Linked DNA regions of Ovis aries. The protein of the gene in region 7 binds, or shares a complex with, the protein of the main gene of each other region. Links are inferred from orthologs where the notes say so. Each region holds a gene or a part of one and is shown on either strand. Other genes may lie near its edges. The genes, in order: MED13L, MED31, MED7, MED8, MED12, MED26 and MED20.

Region 1 (4,112 bases), on a different chromosome or scaffold from region 7:
GAGCCAGGCGGGAAGGTCTGCTCCAAATCCAGCCCAGTAGTGTCTGGTAGTTTAAAAAATACATATATTTATATCCTGGCACAAAGCAAGAGGTCAGAAAGCATTTCTGCAACGCATGCATGCATGCGCACAGCGCCTACGAGTAAGGGATTAAAAAGGCATTTCTGGATTCAGAGCATAGTGCGTGGTACACAGTAAGCACTTCCTGGCCTAGGCTTTAAAATCTTGATGCAAGAGCTCCGCTTCGCTGTGTGCCTGAATACAAGGGTTCGAATCCCATCCCCTCCTCTTCCTAGGTGAGCGACCTCGGGTAAGTGTCTTAACCTCTTTGTGCTTCAGTTTTCTCATCTGCAAAACGCGGACCACGGAGTGAGACCTCGAGGAGACACCCCGAAGCACTTGGATCTGCTGTCTGGCCCATGGCGGGCCTCTGCCACCCAGCCGGCAGGGGCGATCGAGGGCACAGGCAAGGAGCCCCAAGCCCTCCACAACCACTGCCACCGGCGTTCCCGTGGCTCGCGGTCGCGCCCAGCAAAGATTCGTGCACCCGAGGGGGCGGGGCGCGGGGCGGCCGGCTCAGCGGCTGACTGCCCGCCCGCCCGCCTCGGAGCCGCGCCGCCCGCACTTCTTTCTCTCCCTCTGTCTCCGTCTCCCTCCCTCTCTCCGCCGGAGAATCCAGCCGCTCTCGGCTCAGCAGCGCCGCCAGCGAACAGTCGCGGCCGCCGCTCCGGCCCCTCCCCCGCCTCCTCCAGTCCCCCCCCGTGCGGCCGGCGCCCGTCACGTGACAAGGCGCCAGCCAATGGCGGGCCGAGCCGCGGTCGGCGGCCGCCATTGCTGTCAGAGCGAGCGAGCCCAGGGAGGGAGGAGAAGCGAGGCTGACTGGGGAGGAGGGGGGGGTGGGGGAGGAAGAGGAAGGAGGGGACGTCGCTCGGCTGCCGGGGTCGCCCGCTGGCTTCGTCCGCACCCCCCCCTTCGCGAGTTCGCGCTCCGCGGCGGCGGCGGCTCCGAAGCGGCGGCGGCGACTCTAGGGCTCGCCTCCCCTCACGCGCCGGCGGGGGCTGAGGGGGAGTCGGTGGCTGGAGATAAACAAGGCGGCGGCGGCGGCGGCTGAGGAACAGGGAAGGCGGAGGCGGCGGTCGGCCCGCAGCGCCGGCCCGGGAGGCAGCGGCGGCCCTGAGAGGCGGGGAGGGCGCCGGGCCGCGCGGACAGCGCCCCCCGCCGCCGCGGGAGCAGCCGCCGCCGCGGGAGCAGCCGCCGCCGCCGCCCGAGCAGGAAGGAGCCGCGCGGCCGCCGCGGACCCCCCCGCCGGCCCGGGCCCGCCGCCCCCGGCGCGGCGTCGCCGCGGCGCCTCTCGCCCGCCCGCCGGCCCTCGCGCCCTCCCCCGGCGGCGGCGGCGGCCGGGCCGCCCCACGCTCCCCGGCGAGGCGCCGCCGCCCGGCCCGGCCTCGCCTCGGACGCCTCGCTCCGACATGCCCCGCTCTGGCGGCCGGGCTCGCGGAGGATCATGACTGCGGCAGCGAACTGGGTGGCGAACGGGGCGAGCCTGGAGGATTGTCACTCCAACCTCTTCTCGCTGGTGAGTAGCCGGGCTGCGGGGAGGGGGCTGTGCCGTGGGGTGGGGGGGGGTCGACCTCCGCCACCGACCAACTTTCTCCTCCCGCCGCCGGGACTTCGCCCCTCCCTCGCCTCTCCCCGCCGTTCGCCTCTTGCCGATTCTCCCCCTTTTGGATCGTCTCTCCTTCGCCTTGGATCCCATCCAGTGTTTATTTGGCTCTTTAAAAATCATTTGTGAGCGCGGCGCTCGGCGTGGAATTTGCATGTGGAAGTCTCAAAGCTGCGGATTCTGGGTCGCACTTCGAACGCCCACCCTCTGTTGCAGTCGCACTCCCCTTCCCCTCCCTTTCCCCCTCTTTTCCCCCCTTAAATGTGGAAGGCTTTTGCCTTGTGTTGCCCGCGCCTGCGATAAGCAGCTTTTTTTCCCCCTTGTGTCGGATCGGCTGCCCGCCCGCCCGCCCGCCTTTTGAATTTTTTAAAAAATTCCATAATGACACCTGCAATTTCGCCCGAAAACAGTTGATTGAATGCGATTGTGTCAGTAAAGGACTCTTGCACCCGAAGCTCCGGCGATTGTAAACATCGACAGCCGCCTGCCTCTCGGGGCTTACTACGCTGGAGAGCCTTAAAGCCATTGCACCGAGCCGACGGAAGGTGGAGAAAGCTTTTTTTCTTTCTCTCCTCCTGTGTCTTTTAAAAACTGTTTTCTCTCTGCTCACAACGAATCCACACACACACACACACACACACACACACACACAAAGCAACAAGCTGGGCGGTTTGATAACATCGCTTTTATCTGTCTTCGCCTCTCTCGCGCTCTCTCTCTGATAATTGACAACTTTTCCTTCGGATTTGAATCGCCTGCCTTAATCTTGAAGCAGTTAGGGTGTCAATTGTTCTCCTGGAAGCCTGGCATCCGACGACGGCGTCTAGATTCATCGAAATTAAAAATGTATAGGGTTCCAGAAACTCTTTCCTGGCGGTGGCAGTGACATTTGGTGGTAAATGCCATCTTTGCTTTTTTTTATTGGGTCGTATTACCTAGCTCTGAAAACATTCACGTTGTTAAACCTGGCGTTTAGACTAATAATTGCAGTGCGTGGTCTTTAAATATGTGCTTTGTGCATGAGTAACTGTATGTATAGCTATGTGCCCGGGAGACTACGAATTTGTTTAAATATTGAGCAAAGATTTGTAAACAGATGTAAGGCAATTATGTTTCAAGCGTGGAATATAATTGGAAAATTGGCTGAACGGTTTGTTTAATTTAGACTTTAAAAAAACCCAACTTTGTTTAAGTGGTGTACCCTTTTTGGGGGACTGCCTTTAGAGAACATGCATTTTGGAAATTGTTTTCCGTAACCTCTGCTGTACATAGAGCTTTATTTCCTCTTAATCTTTGTTTACACTGGGTACATAATTTAGTGTTCAAATTGTAATTAGTTACATTTAATTAAGGGTAGCATAGATGCTTTTTTTTTTCCTTTTGAGACTAGTGGAGAAATACAAATTCTTGCCAACTTTTTAAATAGAAGCTTTATTAAATATATTTCATTATGCAGATTTTAAAAAATGAAGACAAGCGATTTTTACCTACTGAGACCGAGTGACATAGTATCTATGCTTTTACTGTAGTAATAGCAGGTCAGTTTTTTTCCTCCCAACATTTTTATTCGGATATTTAATCTTAAAATTCAGTTACAAGTTGTGATTCTCCCTTTCAGTCCTGTGATAACTTCCCCTTGCCTCCTCTTTTCTTCTCTCAGTCTTTCATTTAGTGTCACTCAGATTCTCAGGGACTTCCATAGGGTAGCAAACATTGACTAAGGGGTATTTAAATGGTTTTTGTTTGGTGACTGGTGACCGAGTTGACACTTTATCAGGAAATTAAAATAACCAAGTAGATCAGTATTAGTGAGGAGAGATTCCCCCAAATTACCATATATCATGCTGACTGATAATGGCTTGTATATATGTGGCTATTTTGTATACAGTACCTTTCATGTAGGAGTGAAAATACATGTGTAGCCAGTCTTCAGTATATATCATTTCTTTTTTTATCCTTTTTTAATTTTTTTAAAAAGCTTAAGAATGATAATGTTTCTAAAGATGTTTAATATTGTTTTGGAGAAAAAATTTGTAGGAGAGGATTCTGTGCTTTCTGACTTTCTAAAGGTTTGTGCTTAAACCAGGAATTCATTTTTGAGTATAGTTTTTTTAAACAGAATTATTCTTTAGGTAGCAACTTTGAAATGCAGAAATGCTTTTTTCTTTTTTGAAGAACTGTGTAATGTCTGTGTTCTCTTATAGATGGAGGTTGGATAGCCGGTTATTAAAAAACTGCAAATCCGTTAAAGAGCTACTGATACTGTAAATTTTTCTTGCTCCAAATTGAGCATTTTCTTGAAAATCAGATACAGCAGCAACCTGGAATATCAAAAATATGTTGCCTAAAATACATTGTATAGAATAATTAATTCCAAAGGAGATAAAATCATCACCTGTTCAGAATAAAGCATGTATTATAAAAACTCTTAGTACATAATATTAGCGTA
Region 2 (3,140 bases), on a different chromosome or scaffold from region 7:
GCTGTTGCTGCTCCGCCAGGGCTTGCTGAAGGCGCATCCGCTTCCGGGAATAGTGCTGCCAGTGCAGAATTTGCTGCTCATCAATAAATTTCGCACACTGAGCATTCACCAGCTCCTTGCGGAAGTGTTCGTACTGGAGCAGTTCTAACATGTGTAAACACTGAGGGTACCTGGGGTTAAGTTTATAAGTTAATGATTGACATAATAATACCACGCTCTAGTTAACTCACTTAAACATGCTTTTGCACTCTATCATTTCTGTAACATTAACTTGGTATACTTTGGTAATACTTTTTTTTTCCTGCATATACAGAAAAGCTAATCATCAAAAGTCAGCAAAATTTTCAAATGTGAGAAAATGTAAGCTTGGAAAGATTAAATAATTTACAGAAGACCACACAGTAACTGGTAAATAGCGTTACTGTCAACTGGTAACACAATAACTGGTCAACATCTGGGCGCAAATCACACTATTCTCTTCGGTGATTTCCAAGGTAAGGGATAGGAACACTTTATTTTCATAATTATGTGTTTAATACCTATTGGTTTTCCATAAACTATGATAAGACAGCTTTTAAAAGTGAGTCAACTTCAGAAAAAACTATGCAGATATTGTATTCCTGTTTCCCACAGGGATATAACAATTCTGAAATTATGTACATATACTCAGAGGTTGAGCACATACACTATAAACAGAAAGCCAAACCTCTGGCTCTCAGAAAAGTAGTTTCAGATAAGGAAGGGGGAAGGCTAGAATGAATCCTGTTATTAAGTTGGAACTGAAAACATCAGGATGAACTCATGGCTTTATACACGTGCGCACACACACAGATATAGAAATAGATACACACAGACCCATTTCTAGCTTTATGTGTTGAGAGAGCCTAGAATCAATGACACTCCAGGACCAATGAGCACACCGAGTACCCAGATCATGGATTTTAAATAGTATTATCCAGGGTTGGTTGGAGACGTGGCTGATGCTACGGCTAACACAGGGAAAGTAAAAGATGAGCCTGGACTATTACATAGTGGCAGAAAGAAAAATGCTCAAAAAATATAGGGATTTGTTGAAAGTACACAGGAGCCAGTTTGAAGGTGTTCCCATTGGCTGTATCCAGGATCACTAGTTCAAGAAGATACATAATTATAACCCATAAGATAAAGAATCCAGGAGTCCATACTGATGTAACTTTATAAAATGAATAAATAAATTAGGAACAAGGAAATATTCTGTCCTTACAACTGAATTTCAACTAACAAATGAATAAAGAATTATGGAATTAGAAAATCACAGAAAAAGCTTTCAAGCAAGTATTTTCCATAGATTGCCAAAGTTAGGTAAAAAACTGAAATATGAAACACTATATTTACCGTCTCAAAGCATTCCCTCACAAGATAGGCATTAAATACAAAGCGAAGAACAAGTAATTTGATACAGAGAAAACTAGCAGCCACCAGCTGAACCAGGTCATCAATCTGGAGTGGAGCCTGAGCTCTGCATTCAATGCTGCTGGTCTGAGGACAACAGCAGGCCCCAACACAATGTTTCCTTATTGAACATTTGCTTCCTATACTCCAGAGATACATAGTTGCTTGTAATTGTCAGCAGCTTTGGCCACCTCATGCGAAGAGTTGACTCAATGGAAAAGACTCTGATGCTGAGAGGGATTGGGGGCAGGAGGAGAAGGGGACAATAGACGATGAGACAGCTGGATGCCATCACTGACTTGATGGACGTGAGTCTGATTGAACTCCAGGAGTTGGTGATGGACAGAGAGGCCTGGCGTGCTGCGATTCATGGGGTCACAAAGAGTCGGACACGACTGAGCGACTGAACTGAACTGAAGCCTGGAAAGCCCTACTCACATCTACTCTAGCTATTTCCTTCTCATGAGGATGTTCTATCAACAAAGACCTAGGTTTGAAACCAGCTCTGCCCATTCTACAGCTGGGTGTCCTTGAACAGGGTACTTAACCTTTCTTAAGGATTAGTTTCTTCCTCCGTAAAATAAATTAATGTGATAACCAAGAGGACTGTCTTCAAGTAGCAAATGCTACTTCTCAATAACTGGAACTTAGACATACAGTGATCACTTATAAGACTTGGAGAAGACCATGCTCAAAATAAGGGACTATAAATATTTTAATAGGTGACAATTATAGCATCAACCAACAAGACGAAATAGAGATACAAAAGCAAAGTTTGCATTTAGATTTTTTTAAAAAACAAATGAGAAATAAATGGAGAACTCAACTAACAGCACTGATGAAAATGAGAACTGAAGGATTTTAGCTGACATAAGTGAAAGTGAAGTCGCTCAGTCGTGTCCAACTCTTTGCGATCCCATGGACTGTAGCCTACCAGGCTCCTCTGTCCATGGGATTTTCCAGGCCAGAGTACTAGAGTGGATTGCCATTTCCTTCTCCAGGGAATCTTCCCAACCCAGGCACTGAACCCAGGTCTCCCGCATTGTAGACAGATGCTTTACAGTCTGCTGCTACTGCTAAGTCACTTCAGTTGTGTCCGACTCTGTGCGACCCCGTAGATGGTAGCCCACCAGGCTCCCCCGTCCCTGGGATTCTCCAGGCAAGAACACTGGAGTGGGTTGCCATTTCCTTCTCCAATGCATGAAAGTGAAAAGTAAAAGTGAAGTCGCTCAGTCGTGTCCAACTCTTCCGACCCCATGGACTGCAGCCTACCACCAGGCTCCTCCGCCCATGGGATTTCCCAGGCAGGAGTACTAGAGTGGGGTGCCATTGCTTTACAGTCTGAGCCACCAGAAAATCAACATTGTGAATCCTTGAATGTAAGAGATAAATTACAGCTGCAGGTCGTTGCTATTAGTGAAATGGTGGAGGACATTGTCTAGAAGAGGTAGCTGCTGCTCTGCTCTAGCCAATGACTGACCTGGGAAAACAAAGACCTGGGGTTATCAGATCTTCCAAATTTTTAAAGAGAAGCTTAGAAATCTGAATCAAAATATGAAACTCTCCAATCTTTAAATTTTGACAACTACTAAACAAAAACCTTGTGTAGAAATGAAATGGGAGTTAATTTGCAGCCTCTCTTAAATTTAAATATCTGAATGGTTATTCTTCAAGAAGGCATAGATTGGTTCTGGATTAATTCAGGGTCA
Region 3 (4,143 bases), on a different chromosome or scaffold from region 7:
TGTGACACAAGGAGCTCAACCTAGCGACAACCTACAGGGGTGGGATGGGGTAGGAGATGGGAGGGGAGTTCAGGAGGGAGGGGATTTATGTATACCTGTGGCTGATTCATGATATATTCATGATTCATGATTCTGATATATGGCAGAAGTCAACACAATACTGTAAAGCAATTATCTTCCAATTAAAAAAAGAAAAAAAAGGCAAAAAATCCCCACATATATGTAAAATAGCTAATGAGAAGTTGCTGTATAACATGGGGAGCTCAAATCTGGTACTCTGTGACAACCTACAAGTGTGAAATGGAGTGGGGGTCGGGGGGAAGGTTCAAGGGAAAGTTGACATATGTATACTTATGGCTGATTCACAGTTGCCAATTAAGCGATTATCCTTCAATTAAAAATAAATTCTAAAAAAGGATCCTATCCATATAAGACTATCAAGATTTCAAATACTCCATCACTTAACAAACAACACTTTCTATGTGGCAGGTGCTGGATTCCAGCACAGATCACACTCTACCTTTCAGCTTCTTCAGAGTGGTCATGCCAATTTTACAAGCAAGCTCTTAGCTAATCTGGCCCTGCAGGGAAGTCTTCTGCAGTGGAAAACATCCGTTGCCCTGAGGTCCCACTAAACACCATCACAGCCACCATAACACTCTAAGGTGGCAAGCCAGTATCACCAAGAGAATATGGGGAATTCTCATACACAACTGATAGGAAACAAATATGCTTACTTGGAATTAATGTGACAGTATCAAACACTGTAATGCTGATTTCTTTGACCCAACAATCCTTTTTATTATTTTATATTGAAGTATAGCTGATTAACAACACTGTTGCTGTTGTTCAGTTGCTAAGTTGTGTCCAGCTCTTTGCGACCCCATGAACTGCAGCACCTCAGGCCTCCCTGTCCCTATCTCCCAGAGTTTGCTCAAATTCATTTCCACTGAATCAGTGATGCTATCTAATCATCTCATCTTCTGCCTCCCCCTTCTCCTCTTGCCCTCAATCTTTCCCAACATCAAGGTCTTTTCCAATAAGTCAGCTCTTTGCATCAGGTAGCCAAAGTATTGGAGCTTCAGCATCAGTCCTTCCAATGAGTATTTATTGTTGATTTCCTTTAGGACTGACTGGTGACCCAACAATTCTATTTCTAGAAATTTATCCTACAAAAATATTGGTAGAAGTACACAAATCTGTGTATCAGGATATTTAATGCAGCACTGTTTGAAAAGAGCAGGAAAAGCTGGAAATAACCCATACCTTCATCCATACCTTCACCCATATGAGGCCTTGGATAAAATGTCTATATATACACAATATGGCCACTAAGAAAAAAAGGGGTGAAAGTACATGGAATGGAGGGTTATAAATACTGTGTACTGGTTCATTTATTTACAACACACTTATGATAGTTGCAAATAGTTATAACCAATGTTTTAAAACTTTCAAAAATTCAGACTTTTCAGTCTATGAATAATATTCCATATTCTTCAGATTCTTCAAATGTTAACATTTTCCCTCATCTGCCTTATTGGTCTCTCATCTCTTTATCTAAAATACTTCAGTGGGTAGACCCAAATAAGAATGTCCTCTTAGAACCACATAATTAACAAAATCAGAGAATTAGCAATCATCTGGTACTTCAAAATAAATTTCATACAGCCTAGGTTTCACCCCTTCAAGCCTTTTCAGATTGGAATTCCTGTTTTGTGCTTCCCAGAACCTTGTGTAATCCTCTACTTAAACTGCCAATCCCCAAAGGGCAACTAAATGACAGGTATCATTGTTTTATATTCTCTTTTACTTAAGCTTCAAACTAATTCTATGAGTTACTACTACTATCAATTTCATTTTAGAGATGAGGGTCCCAAGTCTGTCTCACCAAGAAGTATCTGTAACCAGATCAAACGGCCAGGAAATGGCATAGCAGGAACTCTCAACCTTGCCTGTTATGGTTGCACAGCACAAGCTCCTTTAAATCAGTAAACAATGAAGCATCTTAGAGTACAAATGGAAACTGACATACAACAGAAATCATGTTTGTTTATACCACTTCTCCAGACTAAACTTGTCAAAGGCAATGGAGGTTTTTCCTAAGACATGCGTCAAGCATCAAAGCTGATTATCAGACTCAAGATCATCTTCTAGTGTTTGTTCCGTTCTGACGGATTTAACCCAAAAAAGAAAGGTATTGTAGGGTCTTATCTCCAGACGTTCGACTCGTTTATCTACTGTAAACGGAGCTGCTGGAATGTAGCTTTAAAACCTCCCCAGAAGATCTAATGAATGACGCCTGGGACCTACCTCCTTCCCCGTCTCCCATTAAATCTTTTGATTTCAGGAATGCTCCCTGAGGAAGAAGGGCGAGACTGGTTAGGGACAAGGCCAGAGAGAGGCCAGAAGACGTGGCGAGGCCACACAGCTCGGTAAACCAGCGGAGCGGGTCTAGAACTCAGGTGTGCCAACCTCCGGCCGGGCTCGGCCTCCCCCCGGAGGCGGCCTAGAGCCCGCCGCGCAGAGGGTACCTTCCCACGAGAGGCCAACTACCCCCACCCACCCCTGACCCCGGCTTCGCGAGCTGCGGGGAAGGTCGCGCTCTCTGAGGAACGCCGGAGAGGAAGGCGGACGAACGTACTCAGCACCAGGCCTCCCCGGACTCCCAGCCCTCCCAAAGGAAGCAGCGGGGTCCGGAAAAAGAAATGTACGAGGAACTGAGGCCCAAGCCGTCGCCGCCCACTTACTTCAGCTCTGGGCTTACACTAGCAGCCGCCTTCTCCACCTCAAGCCGAAATCCAACTTCCGGCCTCCACTTCCAGGAAGAAGCCACTGATACTGTCCTTTGATTGGCTGGAAAGAGCTGTCCTTTAACCGAGGCTCTAGTCCCGCCTCTGTGACGGTTGGCTCACCGTTTCGCGGGCGCATACTCCCTCTCCCCAGCCACCCCTTTCCTCCTACCTTCCCTCTGGCACCTCCCACCCTTCCGTGATTCTGCAGCAGCCACAGGGTTTGGGGTCGCGAAGAATGTGTTACTATTAAAAGTAGCTATTCTTTGCTTTCTTTTTCTATTTTCCTGAATATTCGCTGGAAGGACCAATGCTGAAGCTGGAGCTCCAATACTTTTTCCACCTGATGTGAAGAACTGACTCATTGGAAAAGAGCCTGATACTGGGAAAGATTGAAGGCAGGAGAAGAGGGTAACAGAGGAGGAGATGGTTGCATGACATCACCGACTCAAAGGACATGAGTTTGAGCAAGCTCCTGGAGTTGGTGAAGGACAGGAAGGTCTGGCGTGTTGCAGTCCATGGGGTCGCAAAGAGTCAGACACGACAGCTATTTAATATTGTGAAAATCAAGTCAGTATTTGGATACCAATTATCTGAGGATCCAGTAAAGTCCACCCCTTTGTGACTGTCTGTATCAGTCTGATACTGGATGTATCTATTAATCATCTTTTAATCTGTAGTTTCTTTCCTCTACCTCATTCTCCCCCACCCACAATCAATTTATTTGTTGAAGAAGTTTGTTCACTTTTGAGCATACCCCAGTCAGGCTTTTCTCCATTGAGACCAATGTTACATAAATTGTGACCTCCAGTGGGCATTCTTTAGTCCTCATCTTGGTCTACTTTCAGCAGCATTTGGCACACTTGATCATTTGAATTGCCCCCGGACTGAGTTCTCCTCTTAATGTCATCCAGGTGATAATACTCAAGTGGTATCTAGATCCTGGCAACACCCTGTCCCTTGCACTCAGACCCTCTTAACCAACAGTATTACACATCTTTATTCGACTGCAAAGTCTCCAACATAACAGTTCATCTTCACTCCTCTTTCTCCCATACTCTATTCAAAATTAAGGTATCAGTCTTTTGTATTAGTTCTATGTGGAAATAAGTAAAAGTTCAAAATATTAATTTTCACCATCCGCACTGCCTCCATCCTCATCCATGCCACCATAATCTTCCCCTGACTTCTGAAATAACCCCCTAAATGTCAATAGTTTCCTTGCTTCCACTTTTGTCCTTCCTTAGCCTATTTAAGAGTTGGACATGACTTAGCGACTGAACTGCAACAACAACAAAGCCTATTTTATCATACTGTCTTAAAATATGACTGATCTGGCCACTCTTAAAGTTCT
Region 4 (3,966 bases), on a different chromosome or scaffold from region 7:
ATTGAAATAGGACAGAAGGACAAAAAGCAAGGCCTCCAAAATGTAGCCCCCACTTATTGCCACACACTACTGCATATTCAAAATTTCTAGATAGAAACCAACCACTGTGCTGTCAGTCCTCATTTAAGGGCTTTGTTTCCTAAGCTGCATCCCTCTCCTCCTCTTACCATGAGATCTTCATCTCGGTCTGGGGACAACACCAGAGGGATGATGACCTGGTTGCGGAACAGTGGTGTCTTTTCATGCTTCAAGACCTTGTTCAGAGTGTTCAGCTGTCCAGAAAGCAAGGCAAAGCTGTCCAGGACAGATGGCCTGGTGGTGGTAAGAAGATGTCAGCATGTTCCTGGTAAAGGAGCCTCAAAGGGGTCCCTCGGACTAGGAATAACCAGACTCACCCCCAAAACACTCATAGCCCTATGCTGGCCTGGGCAGGAACTAGACTGGCTCGCAGGGATTATGGGGTTAAGAAAGAGGGATACACTTTGAGTTTCTGACACAGATGGAGAAAAAAAACAGGTCATTATAGCAATCCCCACTTATCCTAAGTTTCACTTTCTGAGGTTTCGTCTACCCGTGTCAACCACAGTCCAAAAATATTAAATGATAAATCCAGGAAATAAACAATCCATGTTTTTAAATTGGGAGGTGTTCTGAGGAGTGTGATGAAATCTTGCTTCATCCCACTCTGTCCTACCCAGGATGTTGATCACCCCTTTGTCCAGCATATCCATACCGTATACGGTACCCACACAAGTAGTATAGAAAAAAAAAAACAACAACCCACAGTATATACAGAATAGGATTCAGTACTATCATAGTTTCGGGAATCCACAGTGGGTCTTAGAACTTACCCCTGATAGATCACGAGGAGCTACTACATTTGAATGGGGTGAGGACAATGGCAAAATAGGAACGATGGCTACACTATTATCACTAGAACTTCAGAAACCGGGTGAAAGATCCCTTTCCAGATCCAAACTTTCCTAGATTGGACCTAAAAGACTTGGCAAAACCCGTGCAAGAAATCCAGTATGAATACTGTGGTGGGAGGACCCACTGCAGGAGGACCTCATCCTGGAGAAGTCAAACAGGGAGAATCAAAAGCTAGAAAGAACCTGGGTTGAGAAATTGGGCATTTCTCTACTACCCTTAAAGTTGAGGTCCAAGGCCAACTTCAGTGTTAAATGTTGGGAAAGCCAGCTCTTTCTAAATCAAAAGATGTTCACAAAGTGATAAATGCTGGAGGAGGTACCCTGTGCAGCAGGTGGCCTAGCCCCCACCCATAGAGCCCTCCCCAGCTTGCCCTGGCAACTCTTACCAGGTCAGCCGGTCATACTCGTTCTCCAGCTTGTAAATGAAACTCCCCAGTGAGTTCTTCAGATCAGCCACTTGACTCAGCAGTGCATCTAATGATGCCTCAAGCTGTTTTTCCTCCCTCTGAGCCAATAGGAATAGGTTGGTTACTCAGCTGAGTGTAAGGATGACACATATAGAGGAAGGCTGAAAAGCCAGGGTGACAGTGTGCAACACCAGGACAGTGACACAGAATCTCATTGGCACAGGGACAGTCAGGCTGTTTCTGTCTCCTGTCAGCCGGGCTCCACCCCTATTTGGAGTTAGGATCACAGACAGCATCAACCCTTAGACCTTAAAACCCATTCATCTGACCTCAATTCCTCTTACCTACTGATTCCTTCCTCTCATCGCTTTTAATCCGGGCGTGACTGTTTCTCTATATTAGGCTTGGTTTGTATCTGTTCTCCCTCACTGGACAATTTTCACCAGACGTAATGCCTGGGATTTATTCTGTTCGGCACACCTCAGCAGCAGACGTACTCTGACGTCCTATGTTCTAGAACCTGCCTTGTGAACCTGGCTGTTCTTGGCAATGACATAATCTCTGAAAACCTACCTATACAGGAAGGCTCCTCTGAATACTGCCACCGTCACCTTCCTCTTCCCTCAGCATTTGCTGTTTCAACCTCCTCCTTGCTAAATCAATCTGCACTCACTTTATTGCTGTGCCAATATTCCTGTGCCCCTTTCGCAAGCTTAGTCAACCTATAAAAATGTACTGACAACTACCCTTCTGCAACAAACAGTGACAAATGAAAAACAAAACAAAACAGCAACCAAACCGCACATGCCCCTAAGCACTAGGCAAACTATATTAAAAGCTGAGGGGTCTCCAGTTTTATCTCATTTCACCCTTTAACTACTAGGGGTACACACTAGGAAGAATGAAACAGAACTGCAAAACCCCGAATGTGGAGGACACGAGCCGGGTTCCACCCACGGCCTCAGATTATTTAGTCTGGCTTCTGGCCACCACGGTCCCACAATTCCTTCCACCCTCGGGCTTCTCTCCAGTTAGATCCTCTGTTCTGTCAACATCCAACGTCTAGGCCGGGGCCTGAGCCCGAGCCCAATCCACCTCTTTCTTCAGCCGTCTTCCTTGGACTGCACCTTCCCAAATTTCAACTTGATCCTTTTCCACACCCTATCAACAACTTGATCCTTTTTCCACACCCTAGCAAGACAGTGCTGCCTTCTCCGTCCCAACCTAACCGCAGTTTCTGTCTCCTGTCAGCCGGGCTCCACCCCTATCCCTCTCCAGAGGTCCTCGTCCCCATCGCGCGTCCCTTTATCTCACAGTCGCGGTCTCGACCAAGTCCTCTCATCCCTAACTCCTCACTCTCTCCTCGGCCAGCCCACTTTCTGTCTCGTTACCCCAAGCTAGCTACCCGTCGCTAGCGCCAAACCGGTCCTCACCTGCATTGCTGCGGCGGGGGGCGGTGTCAATCACTTCCTCTTCCGGTTCCCAAGTAGGCCAATTAGAAAGCTCAGAACTCGACCCTCCCACTCACTTCCGGCCCCGCCAGTCGCGAGACCTCCGGGTCAGGGGTCAGGAGCGGAGCATCTTCTCTGGCCCGGGCCGGCGCGGGAGGGCTGTGTGATGGCCTCGGAGCGCCCGGAGCCGGAGGTGAGGGGCGGGCGGGCGCAGCGCTGGGCCTGTAGATCCGAGGGGGAGGGTCCGGCGGCCAGGCGCGGCCGTGGCCTCCTCCGGGTCTGGGGGCCGCCTGGCCCTCCTGAAGGCCCAATAGTAGCATCTCCTCACCCCTACTTTCCTCGGGGAGGCCTAGAGGAGGAATTCGTGGCTCAGTTTTGTTTGCCGAAATTTAATCCACGATTCTCTACTCTAGGGCTCTTGGGTTCTTTGACCTCGTAATGGCATTCAGAAAATCTGTATTTTGATCTTCTGTTGCAGTTTCAGTGGGCAGGTTTGCCGGTTGCTGCCTCATTCAAATATTATTGGAATGCCATAAACAGCATAAATTAATTAGGTTCTAGCGCTCATGCAATTGGAGAGCAGCTTAGATTTCATGAAAAAACGTTGGATTCAGAGTGAAACCTCGTTCTGGTATTGGCGCTGCCCTGTAGCTATCTGTGCAACTTTGGGCAAATCTTGACTTCCCGGATCCTGTTTCCTTCTTTGTAAAATATCTATCTTCAGGTCTATTGTGAGGATCACACGTTTTAAATGGGAAAATGCAAATGAAGCATCCATTAAGTACGAAGGACCATGCAAGGAACTTTTGTATACATTGTGTGGTTCAGACTTGTGCAAGGAAGGTGACAATACCCATTTCCATATACAGACAAACTAAAAATCGAGGGAAGTGAAGTACCTTACCCAAGTGCTACTCTCAGCTGGGGAGTGGCAGAGTTTTGTAATTAGAAGTCTAAAATGTCAGATTTGGAAAGAAAACATCACTAGGAGAGTTGCCCAATGTTACAGGAGAACATGTGAGTGGATGGGAAGGGTGAGAGGTGTATAATCATGTATTGAATCCTTACCTATCGAATGCTTACTGTGTCCCAGAGACCATCTTAGCGCTTTACCAATGTCAAAGATTACTCTCAACCCTACACAGTAGACACTTATCCCCATTTTTCAGTTGAGGA
Region 5 (3,500 bases), on a different chromosome or scaffold from region 7:
TAGGCTCTTCTATGGCAGCCCCCTTCCCTGACACATATTGTTGGAAGTGAGCATGAGAGAGGGTCTGGGAACCACTCACATTGTTAGGGGTCTGCTTGATCATGAGCTGTAGTTCCAACGAAGACTGGCGCATGGTCCACTGGTCCAAGTTCTGTGACAGAGACCCCATCAGCAATCTAGTCATCACTGTGTCATCCCAGACACTTAGTACTCTGATGCCAGCCCCTGATCTCTCACAACCTTGAATCACATATGCCTGGAGGTCTGAAAGGGCCCTCGACTTTCCCTCTTTAGGAAAAATCACACTTAAATAATCCAAAATGACTGAAAAAAAATCTATCCTATTTCAAAAGTGGTTTTGGAAAAATTTCACATCTTCCCCAGTTTCCTGCTCCAGAGCCTCACATTCCTCAGCATCAGGAAGTTCTGCTTAATGCTTAACTTAAATCTTTGATGTTGAAGTTGAAGCTCGCCACTCCTGTTTTCAAAGTCCTTTACAGACCCGAGGGCTAGTCTTAGTTAATCTCTCTGAGGCATTATCTTCTCTCAGCCGAAGAGGCCTCATTCCTTTAGGTTTCCCTCAACAGCTTTATTTTTCCACCCCCAGTCACATGAATGTCTGCAGCAGTGTGGCGAGGCAGGAAGGGTGCAGGCAGACCTGGGCTCCTATACTGACTCTAAACTTACCAGCTGCGTGAGTTACTGAACCTCGGGCAAGTTACTTAACCTCTTCAAGCCTCAGTTTCATTGATGCTAAAACAGGGATATTCATGCCTACTTCACAGGGTTGTAAAGACTAACTAAGGAAATCTACATGGAGTACTAAGCACAGTACCCAGCATGAAGCAGCCACTCAATAAGCAGTAGCTTTCCAACAGCATTACTACTCATCACTGAGCTACGATCGACATGCCAGACACATACGACCAAAATCTAGACCTCCCAGATGCTCTGTCTCCCACTGATAAGCCAAAGCCCTACTCCAGCCAGCTGTGTGCCCTCACCCAATGGTTCACTCTTGAGTCTAGACCATATTGGCTTGACTTCGAAACCCATGCTGGAGCTGTTTCTCTCACCACCTCTCACCATATCCTCATTCATCTTCCTACTTAATTCTCCCTCTCTTTTTCTCTCAAGGTTCCCATCATTTCACCCCAGGTTCAGGCCCTACCACTTCCTCCAAGACCCCCGTCACCTTGGCCTACCTGGAGAATACGCTTAATGCGTTGCCGCTGTGGGTTTTCCCCATCCTCGTTGTCCAGCAGCCGATGTGGGTAGCAGATAAGCTGCATGAGGCGCTGGGCCTGGGCACTGCTCAACACTGGGTCTTGCAGGTCATTGCTGTCTTCACACAGCGATTTAAGGCAACGTTCTCCTACCCATTCCTGAGGAAGCCAAGAATTAGGGGACTGGGCCAACCAGTGAGGGGGTTACGAATAAGGGGGATGGACAAGCGGTTGGTGAGGGACAAAATGTATGGCGGGGAGGTGGTGTGATCATGACAGGAAACAAGACTATATTATATAGCAGCATTGAAGAGGTCTGTGAGAGAAGGTGAGACTGACCTGCTGGCAGATGCTGCGTAGCACGTACTTGGCATAGACATCCAGACTGGCTGTCTCCACAGAGATGTTGCGGCCACCCTGCCTCCGACTGCCACTGCCACCTCCTCCCTCCTCCTCTGGAAGTTCTTCTGTTCCTCCTGTCACAGTGAAGCCCGAACCCTTCAGTTCCGCATCCCCTGCGGTTCACGGGCGGGAGATACGGAGTGCAAAGTGAGATCCCAATGCTGTGTGGAGACCTGCCCCAGAGCCACAGAAGCAGCACTCCCCAAATCCTGCCCTATGGGACAGAAATATACTTCCCTCCTTCCTATCCTCCAGAAAGGTCAGAGAGACCAGCTTTAGGAGAGAGAAAGACTGCCCTTTGTAGTTTAGCTGGCGCTCCACCCTATACACACTTTTGGCACCACTCTTCCTACCCCCATACCAAGTACAAACACAGCCTTGAGAACAGCAAACACAGCTCCATCCACGATGCGGTTCTGGGAGGCAGCCAGCAGGTGGCGGTCACAGGAGGAGCGGATTCCTACAGTAGGCTTGTCTGGTGGAGAGAGCTGAAGTCAGGGGAAGCCAAAGTAGAAACGGTGGGGGTAGGGTAGCCACACTATCCTTGGCAGGCTGGCTTGGATGGAGTCACTTACTTCCATCCGATTGGCAAGGATTGAGTTGAGGTGTCTTGAAAAGATGGAGGAGGATGCGGCAGGTAAGCCGGGCCCCTGGCTCAGAGTCCTGTTCACTGCAAGCTACAGAGAAGACACAGAGGCGGGGAAAGGATGAAGGTGGGCTATATGTGGGTTTGTGGGTGCTGAGGCACTAAAAAGGTGGCTGAGGTCAGGCAAAAGGAGATAACACATTGGAGGAGAGGTGAGGGAGCCAACTGTTCTATAGTGTAGAGGGGAGAACCTGGAAGGGTCAGGAACAGGAAAGACTGGGGATACAGGTGCAGGGTCAGAAAGAGGCCCCTCCCAGCCTGAGACACACAACAGAATTGGCTTCTGGTGCCACCAGGAGCCCCACAGTGAACAAGGAGAGTATAGCCATTGAGTGTGTATTGACATTGGGGGTCTAGACTTTCTACGGGTCACAAATTGGTAGTTTACCAGCATTAAGGAGTGAAGGGATGGCCGCACAGCGAATCAGATCCTCCAGGAGCAAACACTGCCGAGCGATGAGGATGGCAACAAAAGTGGCCAGGGAGTCGTGAAAAGACAGGTCACTGACCTGGAGGAAAAAAGCAGACACACACCAGGACTCAGTGTGGAAAGAGTTCTCCTACTCTGAGTGCTGGGCCTCCACTCTGCATAAAGCTGTCCCTCCGCTCTCACAGTCACTGGGAGCAGACTCCTGCCCTGGGGACTGCCCGGTGCGCCCCCACCCCCAGTCTCACATCTACATTGCAGAGGAGGTCGTTGAAACCACAAGTGCCATTGTTAGAGGAGCAGCACAAGGCCTTAAGCACTCCCAGCCACTCTGCACTCAGTGACTTGCAATAGCCGGTCAGCTCTGCACACAGGATGGCGATGTCATTCACCCTGGGGAAAAGTACAAATGCCCTCAGCAAAAAAACCTGTTCTGGCAAAACCTCAGACTCATTAACTTTTCATCTCCACCCCGGCTATAACCAAGGTTGTGGTACCTCCCGGGCAAGTCATCCCTCCCAACATCAGGCGGGAGCGTGGTGCCCATGCCTCACTCAGTACGCCCCATACCTATCCGAATCATGGTGCCCCACACAGACGTGCATAAGGGCATTGCAGACAAAGCTGTAGCGGTTAGCAGGGTTCTCACTAAGACTCTTGCCTAGCCCCGTGTAGGTGAAGGTGTGAGCAGCGGGGTTCTCTAAAGTGTCGTTCATGAACTCAGGTGCCCAGCGCATGTTGGACTCTGATGGCTCCACATTGCAGTAGATGGTGTTCTTCACCTTGGAGCAGAAGTCAC
Region 6 (4,055 bases), on a different chromosome or scaffold from region 7:
CTCCAGAAGCTAGAATTTAGAGCAAAGAACTTTCCTCTTAAGAACTCTCTTTGTCAGGGAGATGATCAGAAAATGTTACTTTGTTACTTCCCTAACTTTTTAGATACTTGTGGATATTAAGTCAGCTCCCTGACATTGACTTTTCAAGCAAAAGTTAAGTTTGTTGTCATAACTGCATGCCCATAAAGGTAAGCATTAATGACACAATTCTCAGTCGCTTGTCTCAAAAGAGGTTTAATTTTAGTGTTGGCTCTTCAACGCTGTCCCCATTTTTATTTTCCAGGAGCATCTTAAATATGTGTCAACTAACTATGCAGAAGTGGAGTTTCTACTTGGGTAAGGCAGAGAAGAGCAGCTGTGTGCTGGCAATGCCTTGATGAAGCCACCTAGCTCTCACCTGGGCCCAGTTCAATCAAGAGAAACTGCAGAAATATGGTCACACCATCTCTACCGGCAACCTATTCCTCCACAGCTCTGAGTTTCTCCGCGGAGTTTGCTCCAAGCCACACTCCTGTCAAATGGCTTGTAACAACACCCAGGAACATCACTGACAACAGCAGCATTTAAAGGAGGCACTTTCTCATCACTCATATTCAGAGACAGTACCCCGATTTTATCCACTACACTTACATCAGTAAGACTCTGAGTCGTCCCAGAGAAGCCACGTGAAATGTGCACTCCATGATACGGAACACATCCATGGGCTTGGACCCTCTTCCTCCTGTTCTCCTAGGAACCCTTTAGAGTCTTACAAAACACTGGAACCCCTGAGGTCACCGCCCCACCTAATCTACAACATGGTGACTGCCTGTTAAAGCGCCTCCTGATCCCAAAGCTCTCCTAGGTGGTATTAGGATCAGTGCTAATATCTCAGCAACCATTCAGAATCTCTGCAAGGCAAACAAGCACATGGAATTCGAGAAATTACACTCTGAGGTGAAAGTCATCAAGGCTACATTTTTCATTTCACTTGTTTTATCCTCTACTTTTTCAGTCTTGGGAATTGCTGCAGCACCAGTTACTGCAAAAATTCTGCAAGGTTTTATATAGCTTGTGCCTACTCCACCCCCAAAGTCATAACAAAAATGTATACAACATTTGTTAAAGACAAGTACCACCAAGTCTATCTTCATGGGGCCTGAAGACCAGGAATTACTTATGATACAGAAATCAGTCTTATAAAGATCACAACTCCTCTCTTTCTACCAAATTTGTACAATCCAACCATGAATTATTCCCACAGTGCTGGCTAAAACCTACTGCTAAAAGTAATCAGCAAAACTCATGTAAAGGAAAAGCAAAAGTCCCCACAGTGACAGAAACCTAAGTTACCTGGCCAAGCCGAAGATGGTTTATTTCTTCCATCCCCAGCACATTAAAGTGGTTTCAATGGCCACTTCCTGGTCTCCCAGGAAATGCAGGGGCTCACTTCATACCTGGATGCTACAACATCTTGCCATTGCTGAACCTGCTCTGGCCACAAGGGAAAATAACCCCTATCACGGACAACCACTCAGAGAAAATATGAGAATTAGATAAATCCTTCCCAACACACACGGTGAAGGGCAGGGGAGATCCCTCCACAAACAGCAGCCTCAGTGGAGCAGCACCTGAGAAATCGACACCCTGGGGTTAACCCTGACTGTCTAGGTCACAAACCAACAGGCTAGGGCCCCACGTAGGGGGCACACGAAGAAGGGCTCTGGGTGGAATGGGAGAGCACATAATCACCTCTAATTCACTACCCAAAAGCGGGGCTCTGCCTTGGTCTGATACGCAAGGAATACTTAGGCCCAGAAAGGTAATAGGAAGAATCCCACTCTCTACAAGATCATCTTCCGTTGGCAGCGACCCCAAGAGAGACCCAGCGAAGCAAGTCCACTCTCAGAACCGAAAGGGACTCTCCACGAGCCTTGGGCACCCGGCTAGGTGTAAAGGAGGCCAGGGGGGCTCCCTTCGAAGCCAGAAAGGTTCTTCCAGCCGGGAGGCAAGGTAAATAAGACTTCCCTCCTCATCGATAAGGCCGAGACACCGGCGGCACGGGCTCCCCGAGTCCTACCCCGGACACCAGTTGCTCACAGCCTTTCCCCCTCCCCTCCCCCCCCGCCGGGAGGGCTTCCCGGGGGTCGCGGGTACTATGGTAAGGGCGAGGTGGGCAAGCACAGTCAGGAACAGCAAGGGTCGTAGAATTAGGGTGGATGAGGGGGAAAAACTCTAGTCTCAGCTCCCATCTGCTCCCTTCGCCCAGGCCGCATTAAAGCCTCGGCCTCACGTACCGAGCGCTGCCGGGCTGCCCGACCAGCCCCCGGCCCGGGCCCGGGGGAAGAGAGACAGGGATGGCAGCGGCCCTCAGGGGCAGCTGGGTGTCCGGGGGATCCTTCGGAGCCCGGCGGACTAGGAGCACTAGGGAGGGGGAGGGTCCTGGGCCCACGCGGCCTCCACTTTAACCCGTGTGAGGAGTACTTACGTTGCTCTGGGGGTCGATGGCCTGCAGCAGCCGGTCCCTGATCTGCTGCGGAGACGGCGGAGCCGCTGTCATTGCCTGGGCGAGGCGGGGGGGGAGCGGCCGGGCCAGCGGGCGGGCGGGCTGAGGCGGGGAACCGGGGTCACTCACTCGCCGGCCTCCGGGAGCGGAGCCTCATGTTCCCCGCGGCGCCGGGGAAAGAGGGGGCGCGCGGGGTGACGGAGAGGTGAGCCGGGGCCGGGGCTCAGGCCCGGGGCGCCGCCACCACCAGAGGAGGAGGAGGAGCCGCCGGAGCCGTCGCCGCTGCTGCCGCCGCCTCGAGAACCAAACTCCAGTGAGCTACCCCCGCGCGAAGCACTCTGGGTAACCCGCGCCGCACGCAGCGTCGGCGCCACGCTGAGGAGGTTGGGAGATAGGGCGGGCAGAGACGCTGAGTCTGGGCGGGGCCACCTGCAGGCCACGCCCCTAGACTCCACGCATGCGCGCGCAGGCGCAGTCGCCCCCACCTCTGTTCCGCCCCACCGCTTGGCCCAGGGAGCCGTTGGGAGGCGGTTGGGCGGGGCAACGGCCGCCGCCTGGAGGCCCCGCCCCCACCCAAGCCTGGAGGTTGAGGGGGTGGCGGCAGGAGGTTTCCGACGGAAACGCTAGGTGAGCGCCGAGTCCTTGAACCCTGGCGCTCTGGGCGGACAGGGCAGATGAAGGACCTCACTCCTAGGGTAGAAAAGCTTTTCCCATTCTGACGAAGATGACGGGAATCGCGGGCGGGAGAAGCTGCCAAGTTTCCTGCGCCCCGGGGTCCTTCCCAGCTCCTCTGCGTTCGGGGAGGCCAGGAGGCAGACGTCCACGTTGTAATTCTGTGCGCGGAAGGGTCAACTGAGGAGCGCTGTGGGACGCTCCAGAGGGGGCGGTGCGAGTCGGGGGTCTGCAGCGCCTCGGGCTACGATCCCCAAAACATGAGACAGCAAAGTGTCTCACGGAGGAGCCGCTACCGCAGCTAGGAAAGCCCCGAGGCCGCATGAGTTGACACCAACGTTGCAAACCTGTGTCCACTCCGGCGTTTCTCAGCCTGGGCACCAGTAACATTTGGGGCTGGATCACTCTGTTGTAGGGCCTGTCCTGTGCGTTGCAAGATGTTCGGCAGCATCCCTGGTCTCTGCCAGTAACACCCTTTTCCTGCAGGGGACCAAAAATGTCCCCAGTCACTGCCAGAGGTCACCTGGCTGGTAGAATCGACCCCTGTTGAGAATCACTGGTTTAAAAGACCTTCCCACCCTGCTTTGCATGGTGGTGCTGGAAAACTGAAACACCCTTACCAAGGAGGAAACTGAGGCCCTAGGTCACCCAGAGTTACCGATCAAACCCAGAACTGTTAAATGTCAAGTCTAAGGGCTTCTCCTGGCCCCTCGCCTCCTCATTGCCTTCTTTCATTGCCGGCTCTCCGTGGAAGCTCTTATTACATATACGGTTATGCAAACGGGTAAGAAAGGCAGGTGAGTGAGTGGATCATTAGCCGCAGCCTCGAGAGAAATAACTTTTCTTCTTGTTACAGGAAGACCTACATTTAAAACAGGAGAGAGGCAGCTGATGAGAA
Region 7 (4,231 bases):
CCTTCTCCGTTTGTGAATGCTGCTCACAGACAAATGAAAGATGAGTGTTGAGAAATGGATTAAGCAACTTGGAGGTCAACACTCTCAGAGTAATAACGAGAAAAATGACCATCTTTTAAATAATCTCGCTCCCTTTCTAGTCCTGAAACAATATTGTTCTTTGTGCTCAGAGCACTCCCTACTTTTCAGTTCTCAGCACAACGGTCATGCAACCTGGGAAACCTGACTCCCAAGACTAATGCTATTGTCAGAGAAGCTATACTTTATCACGAGTGCATTATTCTAATTGCTTACTTAATTCTTTCTCTCGGGCTACACTGGAAGATCCTGACGTTAGGTATACCTTTACCCTGTTTACAGTTTTTTATCTAAACCATCTAAACTCCTAGCACGGCGGGATGTGCGTAGTAGACATTCCATGATTACTTACAAAACACGTAAATAAATGCCAGGAGAACTTAGCGGCGTGAGTAACCACTTCCTGCTGGCCTAACCTCGGTGATGCCTATAAGAGTGCCACTCTAAGGAATGGGCGTGGAGGGCTCCGGCAACCCTCAATCTGCCCCAGAGCTGGGTCTCCCAACCCCATTACCTTTGCCAAGGGCCTCAGTTTTTTGTTGTTGTTGTTTTTTAATTCCAAGTTATTCCCCTGCCAGACACCTTTCAGCCGTCCGCCCCAGCTACCCACCCTCCTCCTCGTACCCCATCCCCCCCACTCACCCAGCCGCGTGGTGCGCTCCCGCGGCACCGCGGGCCTGTCCCCGCTCCCATGCTCGGCCTCGAGCTCCTCTTGCTGCTGCCGCGCTTGCTGCAAAATCCGTCGGGTCAGCCGGGGCCCCACGTACTCTTCCTCCTCGTCTCCGGTTCCGCGACCCCGCCGTTTTTCTCGGGCTCCTGCCCGCACCGCGTCACCAGCCAGGATCTGCTCGGCCAGCGGCGCATGCTTCTCCTGACCCCCGGCCGAGCGGGCCGCCTTGAACTTGGGCATTTTTCTAGAAAACCAAGCCGTGAAGTTTCCCACGTGGGTATGGAGGAAAAAAAGGCCCCGAGTGCGCTTGCGCGGTAAACACCCAGCGCCCGAGAGCCCACCGGAGCTCACAGCGCCCCCTCGCGTCTGGAGGCCGGGTGTGCCAGAAGCCCCGTCCCACCCCCCCCCCCCCCCAAAAAGAGCTCACGGGTCCTGGAGCTGGGTCCTCCCGAATTTAACGTTGTCTTCTCTAAGTGGTTGTAGTCCGAGATACACTTTCCTAGTTTCATGGATCTGGGTCCAGGGTGCCCAGGCGAATGGGAATTCCCTGACCGGCGAACCAGGGGATCGGGGGCGGGGCGGAGTCGGGCAGTGACCTCACCGAAGGACCCAGACACGCCCTTCCTCGTGGGCGTGTCGACTGGACGCTGTGTTTTTACGTAAGTTCCGGAGCGCCTGCCTCCATTGGAGCTCGCTTTAGCGAGGTGGTTTCTCCTCTTGTGGGCTGCTGGAGCACAGCGCATTTCACTTGTTTGATCCTCCCATCTTCCTGGCACGACACCATGGGAGTGACTTGGTAGGACTTCAGAGGACTTTGTGGGGCGGGGTTTGGGGACTTGAAGGCCCCTGGAGCCTCGAATATACCCGGGAGGAGGATCCCGACCAGGGTCCACAGTCCCCCGGAAGATGAGCAAAATGTCCTCGGATTGTGTAAGTGAGGGGGCCACCGCGAGGGCTGCAGAATCTGCAGGCCCCTTTCCTCGGAGATTCGCCCCTTCTTCCTGGAAGGCGGCAGGAAAAAGGGTTTAAGAACCCGTTAATGATCGTGTACCTCCTTCCTTTTTTCTTGATACAATTTCTTGACCGTGAAGCCTGGGGTAGAACTTTAGGGTTGAAAGTAGTATGTCGGGACTCGGACCCGTCTGCAGGCAGGGCTTGGATGGGTAGGGGATAGGCAACAAGGAGATAGTATCTTTTTTAGGTTTTTGCCTGCCCCTCCTTACAGCCACTAAATGCAGTTAGATCAGCATGTGTCTGGTTCTAGTTTGGCCTTTGTAAGATCTTGAGTCTGGAGGGAAAAAAGGAGCTGTTGGGAATTAGGAGATAGGAATTACAGGCACATCACCTCTTCAGGGTCTGTTTCCTATTCTGTTTAATTACCTGGTTGGTTTAGTTTTTATGGACTTATTTTAACACGTTATAAGTCAGTGTGGCAGGGAAAGGTATGGGCTTAATTCTCTTCGAGTCATTTAGTTCCAAAATGCTAGATTTCAGAGCTTTAAAATATATATATCTTGAGCATCTCTCCCAGAGAGGGCTTAGAGGCCAGGTTATCTGAAGGCAATGGCTCTAGGCTTCTCATGTAAGAGCCTGTGGGAATTCCTGGTAGCCCAGGTCTTGCAGATTTGTCAGTGACTGCACATTTGCTTCCTGAAGCTGGCATCATGAGCCTCCTTCAAAGTCCTGTAGTGTAAGAAGGGTGCGAAGAATGGGAATGAAAAGTTTGCTAGGGTCTTTCATGACAGTCCAGTGGTTAACATTCCACGCTTCCACTGCAGGAGGCACCTTCTACTTCAAGGGGCATGGGTTCAATCCCTGATTGGGGAATTAGATCCTGTATGCCTTGTGGCGCAACCAAAAAAAAAAAAAAGCATGCTGCAAAGAGGCGTGAAACCCTGGAAGTACCTGTTCTCTCAGGGCAGAAGGCAAGCAGGGAAAGGGCTCTCTCTTGGGATGCTTCGCAACTTTTTCAGGCTTCTAGGACTTCTGACCCCAGTAGCATCACCTTAGGGATTCTCTTATATTTCAAAATGAGGCACATCATCATCATTACTTGTTAGTACTTTTTCTGATGGAGATTAGAGACAGTTTTAATAACAGTAGGACTCTATAGCTTCATTTAGCCGATTTTGGTTGATCATAAAGTAATGCAGTGTCCCCCAACATTCAGCCACATATGATTCTACTTAAGATTTTTAAATAGCCATGTAGCACTTGAAATATTATTTATTAATGTCTTCTTTTAATTCCCTTTCTTTTCCTTAAAAGTATTTATAGCTGTATTCCTGGGGAAGCATTCTGGTAGAGTTAAGAGCGTGGACGTGGAGCCAGCTTGCCTGGCTTTGACTCTCGGCCACACCACACCAAGCTGTGTGACCTTGTGCGAGTTATTCAACCCCTCTGTACTTTTCTTTCCTCACTGGTAACAAAGAGATAATTGTATATCTTATGGGGCTAATGTGAGGATTCAAAGAGTTAGTTCATCGAAAGGTCTTTGGGCACTACCTGTCACATAGCTGGTCCTTGGTGATTGTTACCTGCCACTCTGTAAAGGGGGAGCCAGTTTCCCTCACCATAGAAGGAAATCTTGGAAATGACTTTTTGTTTCGTTGTTTTGGTTAAATTCGTGTACATGCTGTTTCCTTTCACGTCTGAGGATTAGAAATTTGAGGCTTGCTTTCTCTTTGGTCCCAGGAGCCTTAAAACTTTCTGCCTTGATGGAAATGTTCTGTATTAGCACTGCTCTCAGCCACTTGTGGCTGTCAAGCCTTGAAATGTGGGTTTTGCAGCTGAGGAGTTGAGGTTTTAATTTTTAATTCGTTTAAATGTAAATAGTCGCATGTGGCTTGTGGCTACTGTGCTGGACAGCTTGCATGCAAAGTGTTAAAGAGAGTAATAATAATTGGAATAATAATTCCAAGTTGAGGTTTTCTTTTTGATGTAGTCAAAACTGAAAGAAACGCAGAAGAAATCCCTTTCTCATTGTATGACTCTGTGTTACTGAATGCTCAATCTATGTGCCACCTAAAATCTTCTCTTGAACGTTGGCATACTTGCCACACTCCGTCAACGGAGGTGCTCTAAACAGGAAGTTCAAAGCACTGGTATGCGTCCTGAGACCTGCTCTGGTTCTTAGTGGAGTTCTCAAGAGACTGTGGGCCTCTGTTTCCTTCTTTTTAAACTGAGAAGGTTCGGTTTGATGGTGTCTGTGCACATACTGGCCCTGATGAGCTACGATTCTGCAGGCAAGTGAATGACTCATTGATTTTGGTCCTTTTCCTTCCAGTGTGTCTCAGATGCCCGTGGCCGAGGGCAAGAGCGTCCAGCAGACTGTGGAGCTCCTCACCCGGAAATTGGAGATGCTTGGAGCAGAGAAGCAAGGAACATTTTGTGTGGACTGTGAGACCTATCACACAGCTGCCTCTACCCTGGGCAGCCAAGGTCAGTGAGAGATGGGCCTGTGGGATGGCTGGAACCTGGTTT

Evidence for each region.
Region 1: MED20 (region 7) and MED13L share a complex: the UniProt entries of both Homo sapiens proteins name them as parts of the mediator complex. The link is inferred for Ovis aries from reciprocal best matches to the Homo sapiens genes MED20 and MED13L.
Region 2: MED20 (region 7) and MED31 share a complex: the UniProt entries of both Homo sapiens proteins name them as parts of the mediator complex. The link is inferred for Ovis aries from reciprocal best matches to the Homo sapiens genes MED20 and MED31.
Region 3: MED20 (region 7) and MED7 share a complex: the UniProt entries of both Homo sapiens proteins name them as parts of the mediator complex. The link is inferred for Ovis aries from reciprocal best matches to the Homo sapiens genes MED20 and MED7.
Region 4: MED20 (region 7) and MED8 share a complex: the UniProt entries of both Homo sapiens proteins name them as parts of the mediator complex. The link is inferred for Ovis aries from reciprocal best matches to the Homo sapiens genes MED20 and MED8.
Region 5: MED20 (region 7) and MED12 share a complex: the UniProt entries of both Homo sapiens proteins name them as parts of the mediator complex. The link is inferred for Ovis aries from reciprocal best matches to the Homo sapiens genes MED20 and MED12.
Region 6: MED20 (region 7) and MED26 share a complex: the UniProt entries of both Homo sapiens proteins name them as parts of the mediator complex. The link is inferred for Ovis aries from reciprocal best matches to the Homo sapiens genes MED20 and MED26.

What each region holds. Positions count from the first base shown.
Region 1 is NC_056070.1:58,647,681-58,651,792, forward strand, and holds the start of MED13L (mediator of RNA polymerase II transcription subunit 13-like), read left to right. Parts: upstream 1-1,312; 5' UTR 1,313-1,504; coding exon 1,505-1,576; intron 1,577-2,159; exon of another isoform or gene 2,160-2,558; intron 2,559-4,112. UniProt on the Homo sapiens protein: Component of the Mediator complex, a coactivator involved in the regulated transcription of nearly all RNA polymerase II-dependent genes.
Region 2 is NC_056064.1:25,119,335-25,122,474, reverse strand, and holds part of MED31 (mediator of RNA polymerase II transcription subunit 31), read right to left. Parts: intron 171-3,140; coding exon 1-170. UniProt on the Homo sapiens protein: Component of the Mediator complex, a coactivator involved in the regulated transcription of nearly all RNA polymerase II-dependent genes.
Region 3 is NC_056058.1:66,400,747-66,404,889, forward strand, and holds the start of MED7 (mediator of RNA polymerase II transcription subunit 7), read right to left. Parts: upstream 2,801-4,143; 5' UTR 2,748-2,800; intron 2,357-2,747; 5' UTR 2,311-2,356; intron 1-2,310. UniProt on the Homo sapiens protein: Component of the Mediator complex, a coactivator involved in the regulated transcription of nearly all RNA polymerase II-dependent genes.
Region 4 is NC_056054.1:18,067,155-18,071,120, forward strand, and holds the start of MED8 (mediator of RNA polymerase II transcription subunit 8), read right to left. Parts: upstream 2,801-3,966; 5' UTR 2,779-2,800; coding exon 2,773-2,778; exon of another isoform or gene 1,684-2,772; intron 1,438-1,683; coding exon 1,319-1,437; intron 313-1,318; coding exon 168-312; intron 1-167. Other genes in the region: KICSTOR complex protein SZT2, read left to right, coding at 2,957-2,983. UniProt on the Homo sapiens protein: Component of the Mediator complex, a coactivator involved in the regulated transcription of nearly all RNA polymerase II-dependent genes.
Region 5 is NC_056080.1:63,840,805-63,844,304, reverse strand, and holds part of MED12 (mediator of RNA polymerase II transcription subunit 12), read right to left. Parts: intron 3,500-3,500; coding exon 3,272-3,499; intron 3,095-3,271; coding exon 2,950-3,094; intron 2,784-2,949; coding exon 2,663-2,783; intron 2,306-2,662; coding exon 2,204-2,305; intron 2,104-2,203; coding exon 1,990-2,103; intron 1,742-1,989; coding exon 1,566-1,741; intron 1,386-1,565; coding exon 1,206-1,385; intron 152-1,205; coding exon 80-151; intron 1-79. UniProt on the Homo sapiens protein: Component of the Mediator complex, a coactivator involved in the regulated transcription of nearly all RNA polymerase II-dependent genes.
Region 6 is NC_056058.1:6,189,194-6,193,248, reverse strand, and holds the start of MED26 (mediator of RNA polymerase II transcription subunit 26), read right to left. Parts: upstream 2,801-4,055; 5' UTR 2,540-2,800; coding exon 2,468-2,539; exon of another isoform or gene 1-2,467. UniProt on the Homo sapiens protein: Component of the Mediator complex, a coactivator involved in the regulated transcription of nearly all RNA polymerase II-dependent genes.
Region 7 is NC_056073.1:15,719,589-15,723,819, reverse strand, and holds the start of MED20 (mediator of RNA polymerase II transcription subunit 20), read left to right. Parts: upstream 1-1,431; 5' UTR 1,432-1,530; coding exon 1,531-1,544; intron 1,545-4,034; coding exon 4,035-4,189; intron 4,190-4,231. Other genes in the region: BYSL (bystin), read right to left, coding at 721-988. UniProt on the Homo sapiens protein: Component of the Mediator complex, a coactivator involved in the regulated transcription of nearly all RNA polymerase II-dependent genes.